Linked DNA regions of Drosophila melanogaster. The protein of the gene in region 1 purifies or fractionates together with the protein of each later gene. This does not show direct contact. Each region holds a gene or a part of one and is shown in the gene's direction. Other genes may lie near its edges.

Region 1 (3,683 bases):
ACTCAGCCGGGCGTGCACTTGGCACACTAGTCCCAACAATTGATGGGGTAAAAAAAAATAAAATAAAAAATTAAAACACAAAAATGCCAGAGACCTCTGCGTAACCATAACCTCGGTGCGCACGGCTGTGTGTGGGCGATTCCATTTAAACAATTAAAGCAACATAAATTAAAAATGTGGTCAAGCGCCGGTCACCACCAACAGCGACAAATTGCATGTTCTAGTGGTAACTAGAGCCACATCTGCCACGCCCCCACATCAGTGCCATTAATTCGAGCATATTAATTCGTATCCACATGCCACTCTTCCTTGTGTGTTTTTGGTTTTGGCATAATACCGCAAACGGGAAGCTCCCCCACTCACTTTTCTTGTTAATCAATTACAAACTGCAGTACGTACTCAATATTTGCCGAATTACTAGCTCTATTGTTCCGAATTGGTTGGAAAATCATTGGGAAATACAATCGAATTTTTTGGCAGCAATATCCTAAAGTAGGTCAACACTTTGAATAATATTTGCAAACGCCTTTCCTACCGTTTTAAGCGTGAGTGTAAGTGAATTTTAATCGATGTATAAGTGTTAAATAATCAGCTCCTAATTGGTAAGTACAAGTGTAATTATTATTAATTTTTATTTTTGTATTTTTTAAAGAGAATCTTATCTTATAAGATTGTAATATTGGTCGGTTTAATGTAAATTAATTTTAGCTTAGAAATGTTAGAATTTTAGGATTTTAAATTTTTAATATTTGTTTTTAGTATCAATAAGTAAAAATAGTCAGTATCGATTTAAATTTCCGTTGTCAGTGCAATGTTGCCGTTTCCTGTTTCGGTATTCAAAAGGAGAGTTGGTATATTTTGAATAGACGTATCGTTTCTGGATTCTTTTAGCGCCCAAGTGTGGGCCACACTGCAACTCGTGTTATTTAACGTTCGGCAAAAACAGCTGTTTATTTCTACTGAAATAAGTAAATTACACCATGTTAGGCCTGCGAGCGATGCTGCCAAAAGGGAAACACTTTGCTGTTGTCCTGGGAAATGTCAGCCGTCAGATTACCCTGCCCCACAACTGCAGATGCATTACTAGTGCCTCATGGACAAGACCACAGCAGTCACAACCACAGAACTTCCAGCAAAACAGGTGGCTTTCGGTGAAGTCGACGAAAACTGAATCCGACGATGCACTGCAGCGGATCTACTATGGAACTCTTGCGCCACGCATGAAAATGGTCAAGTTCTTTTCGCTGAGCACCAGCTTAGCCGGCTTGGCCGCCCAGCCCATTCTTCTCGAGCAGGGAATGAAAATCGGAGGAACTGGAATGGCCGTATTCCTCTGCACCGTCGGTGGATTCTTCACCTTTGTGACTCCTCTGCTGCTGCACTTTATTACCAAGAAATACGTGACGGAGCTGCACTACAATCCACTAACGGAGGAGTACACGGCCACCACAATATCCCTGCTTCTGCAAAAAATCAAGGTGGGTAGAGCAAATTTAAAAGAGCTTGCCTTCAATGTACATATTATTTACCTTTTAGACTACTTTCCGACCAAATGATGTGGTCGTTCCGGAGGTTCCCGGCATGTTCACCTCTTTTCTGGTCAACAAACGACCTCTGTTTGTGGATCCAGCGCTTTTCGATGATCCCGAGCACTATGTTAAGATAATGGGTTACGACAAACCGATCGATTTCAAACTGGATCTGACTCCGAATCCTGAAAAGTCGAAAACGAGCGAGGAGAAGCAATAAAAAAAACGCTCTTTATGATAACGTGTTTTTTTTAATTTCATAAATTCACAACGAAATGTAAAATGTCTTCTTAGAGCACAGATCATAATATGCTAATGAAAACTTTACCTAGCGTTCCATTGGAATGCCACCTGTTTATGTTTCTCAATGGGAATAATTATAATGCTGAGTCCCCTCGTCGAAGGTGAATGGTAAAGGTAAATTTACGTACAAATTATAATTTCTTTCAAAATGCAATAATTTTTGGAAGTTTAGAGCATGTGGTTGCCAGACTTTTTAGAAATTAGGATTCTATATTTGGTATTATTTTTGAATGGTGGATTTTTTTGAAAAGCTTAGACGCGGTCACACATTTATTTACATCGAACATATGATGGGCACGCCGGAATTAAAAATCATATTAGAATTCAGGTATATAAAGCCTTGTTCGAATTATTATTTCCAATAAATGAGACAATTTGTAATTTAATTTCGTAGTGCAGGGGCGGAGTTACTATTTGGTAACATAAAACGCCGTGAATTGAACTTGGACGGTAAACAAAAATGTATGTTCTAAAAGATGTTTTAAACTTGAGTGAAATCGGTTATGAATTATATATATTTTAAAGGGACTATTGCTAATCTGCTTAAGTGGATGCATGCGAATATTTTAACGGAGCGTCCGGAACTTTTTCTTCAAGGAGATACTGTGTAAGTTTGGCTTAAACTATAAGGGATACATAGTCTATACTTTCTATTGTATGTTTTCAGGCGACCTGGAATTTTAGTACTCATAAATGATACAGACTGGGAATTGCTGGTAAGTAAGAGTACAGAATATGGAATTCTAAAAACTATAATTAACTCAACTTCTAGGGTGAACTGGACTACGAGCTGCAGCCCAACGACAATGTGTTGTTTATATCAACTTTACACGGTGGTTAAAAAACGTTCTGGAATCTAAATTATAGGAGAAAAGTTTATTTTTATACTACAACCCATTAAATTGTATTCAAAAAACAAACAAAAACAGTTTTTGACTGAATCAGAATTACGTCCCTTTACCAGAGGCAAAGGCCCACACGATGGTTCGGGTAGTAAAGTTTTCATCATATCATCTAGAGATTGTAAGCTAGCAGGTTTTCGCTATTTATAAAAGCACAGCATTGAACAAGCACTTGGGAATTGTAGGGAAGTTAAAAATAGAACAATCCAGATGCGGTTTGGCGGGTAATTCGAAGTAAGGACAACACGTTAGTTTTACATTGAAGCAACATTTATTGAATTTAAATTTTCGCTTAAAATTATTTATCGAGTTATTATGAAGTATAGATATATTTTTTTAATGTTCGTTTACGATTATTTTAACTATAGGCACTTAGGTTACATATCAACTAACTGTACGTAATGAAGTTCGATTCAGATATGTTGGGCATCGGCCACGCCCCTTTTTCGGGTGCTGCTCATGGCTCCCATCGATTTCTGTGTGTGTGTGGTGCGGATCGTTCGATTGTGTGGACTAAGAACTAGATATGTATGAAACTTGCTTCGACATTGACACGCTGAATTCAATAATTTCGACTGATTTTTCCGATAAACAAGGCAAAACGAAAAGCAGCGACTATGACAAATTAACGAAAACTAAAAATGTAATAAATAATAAATAACAAAAATAATGAAATAAAATTAGCGATCGAACGTAATACGATGATACTACATGGGATCCGATGAAACCGTTCTGCTAAAGCTATTAATGGGGATTTATACTATATCTAGATGCGATGCTCCAGGAGCTCCTCTATTTGCCGCTTTCCGGACTGGCGGACTCCGCTGCGTGGGCGTAGGATCGATATCGCCGCAGGATTACCGTGGATGCACTCGTCGTTGAAGCTCCGGATGCTCCAGTCGTTGATGTGGACCAACTGCTTCGGCTGCTCTCCGCCGCCGATTGTTCC
Region 2 (5,223 bases), on another chromosome or scaffold:
GCTGTGGCCGCCGCGATTGTTGTTGTGGTTTCCACAACTGAAGATGCTGCTGTTGTTGTCGTTTCTGATGCTGCTGCTGTTGGCGTCGCTGCCGACGTACTGCTTTTTATTGTTGGATCTAACGCCTCGTTATCCATAATACGCAATCGGTTCTGACTCTTTTTGGCTCTTTGGATGTGCTCTCCTCTATGTGTGTTTTTGGTTTTTTATAACGATTTTTTATTTTTACAAAATATAAAATACGTATGAAAAGCAGCGAGAACGAGAGAAAAAAACGTAAACAACCGGACAAACAAACAAATACAACAGGCCGGGCTGGACCGCTCTCAGTTGATTGCTATCTGAAAATTATATTTGCACTGTGGAGGGTCGAAAGAAAAAAATTAACGTAGCAATAACTAAAGGAAAAATAACAATAGCATCACAACACACCGTGCAATTAAGCCACAAAACAACACACTCAAGCAGACACACACACACACACACACGCATTAACATTCGCATTCGAGGGGCGCTCAACGTAAATTAAGGGTTTACTGAAATCTACCACGAATCTTCTCATCACTACTATTCCTCATTTGTTATGCAACTTCATGGAAATTCCAATACTGTTTCTTTTCCCTTTGATCACTGTACAGTGGAACGTGCATAACTCGAATTATCTATATATTACATAAACACGCTGCTATTAACTTAACCATAACTGTAAACAACACATTACCAATGGGAAACGGAGCAACCTTTAAGAATCTCTCGCTGCGCGCTTTCCAATTGGAAATGCCTTAATGGCGGAAAACCGCTTCGTATCGGAGTTCCTAAGTTGTCACAAGATGTCCCCACAGAACCGCGATCATATTCTCATTCTCTAGCATAGAAAATCCGGTTCTAAACGGTACCGAAAACACGTTCATGCAGCGTTCCTCCGATTAGTGCTGTAACTTCCAAGTGGACAGGTGTTGTCGGTGATGTGGAATTTCGGATTCCCATTTAAATGTTAGCATCAACACTTTATGCAGGTCTTCAGGCGTTTCATTGTTTGGCATTGTTCATTTCGCATAAAACTATACTCGAAACGAAAATAAGTAACAAAAATGCCAAAACACTGGCGCAGAGAGAGCGTACTTGAAAAGAGAGTAGAGAGAGAGAGGAGAGCAAGCGAGACGAGCAACAAGTTGAGAAGCAATGGCCGTCGACCAATTGCCAGGGTTGCCAGACATGCCAATAGAAATGGGGAAGGAAGAGCGCTTTTGGGTGGTGTTGGTGTTTTTCAAATTTTTTTTTCATTTCTTTTTGGAGGTGCAAGGATGGGCAATCATCAACACAAGTATTGTTGGGGCACCCAGCAAGTACTCATAAGTTTTGTTGTTGCAAGGAAGGGGTGAAACAGAGAGGGAGAGAGACGGAGACAGTCGAGAGCGTAAAAGTAAAATGTGTACTAGGCACGATTAATAGTTGTAGTTGCACTTCCAAGACTCAAACACACAATTATTATTAAATATATATATATTTATATATATATATGTGCACATATATAAGTGGGGAAACAAATATAACTTTGAATGTCAAGGGGCGAGGTTAATTTGTGGGTTATATTTTCAGAGGGGGGTTTTTAATGGGTCTTATTTCGCCAATTTACCGCCAGAAGCTGCAAGAACTTGTTCAATTTGGCCCTGCTGCGATATAGGTTCGCCAACATCAAGTTCACTGCTGATAAAAGCTAGTTCTTTGCGTAAAATGCGAATTCTAACAAAAACGCTTGCACACGCACACAGAATCACAGCACAGCGCACACACACACACGCACACCCCGCTCTCGCGTTAAAATTCAGTCGTCGAGGCTACACGAATTATTTGCGCTGCAATTTCTTCGATCGCTGCGATTCGCTTCGATTTTCGCGTGCGAATTCCACAAGGCTCGCTCGCGAATTTCACACCCAATAGCTCGGCGGTCTATCGGCACCGGGGTCAAGTTCACCTTTTCGCTTAGAACGCACAACATCAACGCTCTGTGCAATTGTAAATAATAATTTATGTAAACTGTCTTATACACGCAACGTTGTCGGTGCTCAATAGAAAATAGAGTTACCAGGGCTGCAGGCGTGCGGCGGCGTTGCCTGACCCAGCCGACCCTCGATAGTTACTTTTAGGAAGATTTTACCGACTCCGTTTAAAAGCTAAAACGAGCTTTTGCTTATGCTATTTACTTATTTATATTTACTATCTTTATACCTTACTCTCCTCTACTGTCTTATTGCCAAATGCGAAAGACTTAAAGATCATTATTAATTATAATAAACCGAATGTTTACAAACTGTTATTTAATTGTTGATCTCACATTATTCTTTAATTTTGTAAAATAATAACTTCGAGTGGTTTTCGATAGCTTGTACATAATTTGTGCTAGCTGCATTAAAATATTAATAATTTTAAATAACATTTGGCAATTTACAAGAATCATATATATGTACTATATATTAATATAAGGAAATATTTTTGTAAATTATATATTAGCAAATATTGCGGCACTTGTTTTACAAACCAGGGCCGCTTGGCCTAATGACACTTGGTGGCAATACAGGTGGCAACGCCAAAGACAGATTGTTTATATCGCTCGACTTCTCGAGTTTGACTTTTAATTTTTTAATAAATTTTACGGCAATTGCTATGCAGATAACAATCAAGGTGCTGAAGGGCAAGGACTGCACCATCGAGGTAAGAATGAACCTTGCCAAAATCAAGTGAGGTCGCTAATATGGTAATATTTCACACAGGTGGCGCCGACATCGACGATTCTGGAGGTGAAACACCAGATCGAGGCGGAACTGCAGATATCGGCTACAAATCAAAAGCTACTGCTGTTGGGGCGACCGCTTAACAATGAACAGACAATTGCGTCATATCCCAACATCAAGGAGGGCACCAAACTCAATCTGGTGGTGATAAAGCCCTGTTTAAGGGACAGCATCCTGCGGGGATTCCGCAAGCACTATTCGGAGCCCCTAGCTGAGCGTATGACCAATGAGTTTATGGCCGACTTCGAGCGGAAAATCAACGAGCAGAGCCTGGACGACCTGGAGAGACTGGCGGACAGCATAGTCAACAGAGCGGCCACATAGCGCCATTGAAGACCCAATACCAACCACCACCACCCCCTCCAAAAATATGATGGAAGTCTATCCTTACAGCATAATATTTTTATTTCCCCCCTTTAAAAAAACAAACTAACTAAAAAATATGAGGTAGTAAAAATTAAGACTTGACTGAAAACACACGGCCCATATTCTTTTTTGCGACGGTCTGGCAACGCTCCACCGGCCAGTTGCAGTCTTTGGCTGTGTGCGTGCGTGCCTGTGTGTGTGAGAAGAAGAAAGAGAGGAGAAATGCGTGTGCTGTCGTGCAAATTTCTTGGCCGAGTTGTTAACTCCGCGCTGCCCCAACAAATCATTTCACTGCGATCCCTGTCCAAAACCAGTGCAGCTATGGTGAAAGTAAGTGCAGGTTGACCGGCAAACGCGGATTTCCGGCTGTGCGGCAGTCCGGATTCCATTACATAAGCCGGTGCCGAGCTGCATAAATATTGATTGCGGCGGCACCCAGAAATTACAGCGTTTCAAGGTTATCGCCTCCATCTTGCTGCCTCTTTTCTCTAAGTACGCCTGTCTGCCTCCCACTTTATTTCCAGGTAGGAGACTCCCTGCCATCGGTGGATCTGTTCGAGGACTCGCCAGCCAACAAAATCAACACCGGCGATCTCGTCAATGGCAAGAAGGTGATCATCTTCGGCGTTCCCGGCGCCTTCACTCCAGGCTGCTCAAAGGTGCGTAGGTAGCATAGTTGCAAAGTCATCTGCTTTGAGTTTCCGAATATTGTAGAAACTTCCAGCAGTATAGTGTAATTTATGCAGCTTATGTATTCCAACTGAATAATGCATTTCCCCACACCCACAGACCCACTTGCCCGGCTATGTGAGCTCCGCCGATGAGCTGAAGTCCAAGCAGGGCGTGGACGAGATTGTCTGCGTTTCGGTCAACGATCCCTTTGTGATGTCCGCCTGGGGCAAGGAGCACGGAGCCGCGGGCAAGGTGCGCCTCCTAGCTGATCCCGCCGGCGGTTTCACCAAGGCCCTGGATGTGACCATCGATCTGCCACCACTTGGCGGCGTGCGCTCAAAGCGCTACTCGCTGGTGGTGGAGAACGGCAAGGTGACCGAGCTGAATGTCGAGCCCGATGGCACCGGACTCAGCTGCTCGCTGGCCAACAACATTGGCAAGAAGTAAATGGAATCCAGTCAGCCCGAAAACACTAGAAACTCATACATGCTAATGCTAGGCCGCAATGATATCAATTACGTCTTCAAAAGAACTATGTAAAACGTACAATATATATGCGATTAGAGATGTTATGTCTAAGGGGTATGCTTTAATATCTAATTGGGGGGCTTATAGTCTTTACAGTCATTTTATCTAATAACTAGCGATTGTCCGTGTTGGGTGCAATCTTCTGTGACAACAGTTTGCCATAACCCCCGCGGCCGGCATCGTAATCCGTGCGGTATTCATCTCGCACCTGTCCGCCGGTTTTGCCGCGTCCATACTGCCTGCCCTCCACGAAGCCGGCGTCCCAGTCCACACGAATCAGACGGTCGTCCAAGCGAGTGCCATTCACAAATCTTTTGTGGGAGAAGAAAAGAGTGTTGAAGTTAGTTAAGAGATAATGATACCCCATCTGATTACTTCTACAAATGCCGGAAAAAAGGCGGCTTTTTCTAGCGTGGAGAGATGGATATGGCTCACCTCATGGCCGCCTCCGCCTCCGATCGGACATAGTACTCCACGAAGCAGAAGCCGCAGGGCGTCTTCTTATACTTGTCCAGGCCCATCACAATCACACGAACATCGCCGCAGCGGGAGAAGAGCTCGTGGATCTGCTCCTCGGTGGTGTAGAAGCTCAAGTTTCCCACGTAAAGTGTACACGAGTCGCGGAGCGATCGCTCTTGCTCGGAGCGCGAGCCCTGCAATTGGTTTATTGAGTCGGAGATCTGCTGTGGCGCCTTCGGATGTACTCACCTTGAAGTGCTGATCGCGATATGAGCTTAATTCCACAGATGCGAACATATTTTTCAGCTACAAACTATTGAAATATTTTCTCTGCTTTTATTTAGTGACGGCACTCTATTGACTGATACTTCGATAGCACTTTGAAATATGAATCGGTGAGCTAGTG

What was found. The genes of interacting proteins can lie anywhere in the genome.
Region 2: the proteins of Urm1 (region 1) and Prx5 purify together in Drosophila melanogaster (affinity purification with western blotting, with the first as the bait; one study listed by BioGRID). This does not show direct contact.

The regions. Positions count from the first base shown.
Region 1 is NT_037436.4:7,638,881-7,642,563, reverse strand, and holds Urm1 (Ubiquitin-related modifier 1), read left to right. Parts: upstream 1-2,117; 5' UTR 2,118-2,122; coding exon 2,123-2,160; intron 2,161-2,226; coding exon 2,227-2,294; intron 2,295-2,357; coding exon 2,358-2,439; intron 2,440-2,499; coding exon 2,500-2,548; intron 2,549-2,604; coding exon 2,605-2,673; 3' UTR 2,674-2,753; downstream 2,754-3,683. Other genes in the region: CG7506 (uncharacterized protein), read left to right, coding at 981-1,478, 1,537-1,749; Pura (Puratrophin-1-like), read right to left, coding at 3,527-3,683.
Region 2 is NT_033777.3:18,164,620-18,169,842, reverse strand, and holds Prx5 (peroxiredoxin 5), read left to right. Parts: upstream 1-2,569; 5' UTR 2,570-2,664; coding exon of another isoform or gene 2,665-2,712; intron 2,713-2,771; coding exon of another isoform or gene 2,772-3,116; 5' UTR 3,117-3,380; coding exon 3,381-3,488; intron 3,489-3,682; coding exon 3,683-3,817; intron 3,818-3,947; coding exon 3,948-4,277; 3' UTR 4,278-4,401; downstream 4,402-5,223. Other genes in the region: CG7215 (uncharacterized protein), read left to right, coding at 2,665-2,712, 2,772-3,116; Cbp20 (cap binding protein 20), read right to left, coding at 4,471-4,669, 4,794-5,011, 5,067-5,114.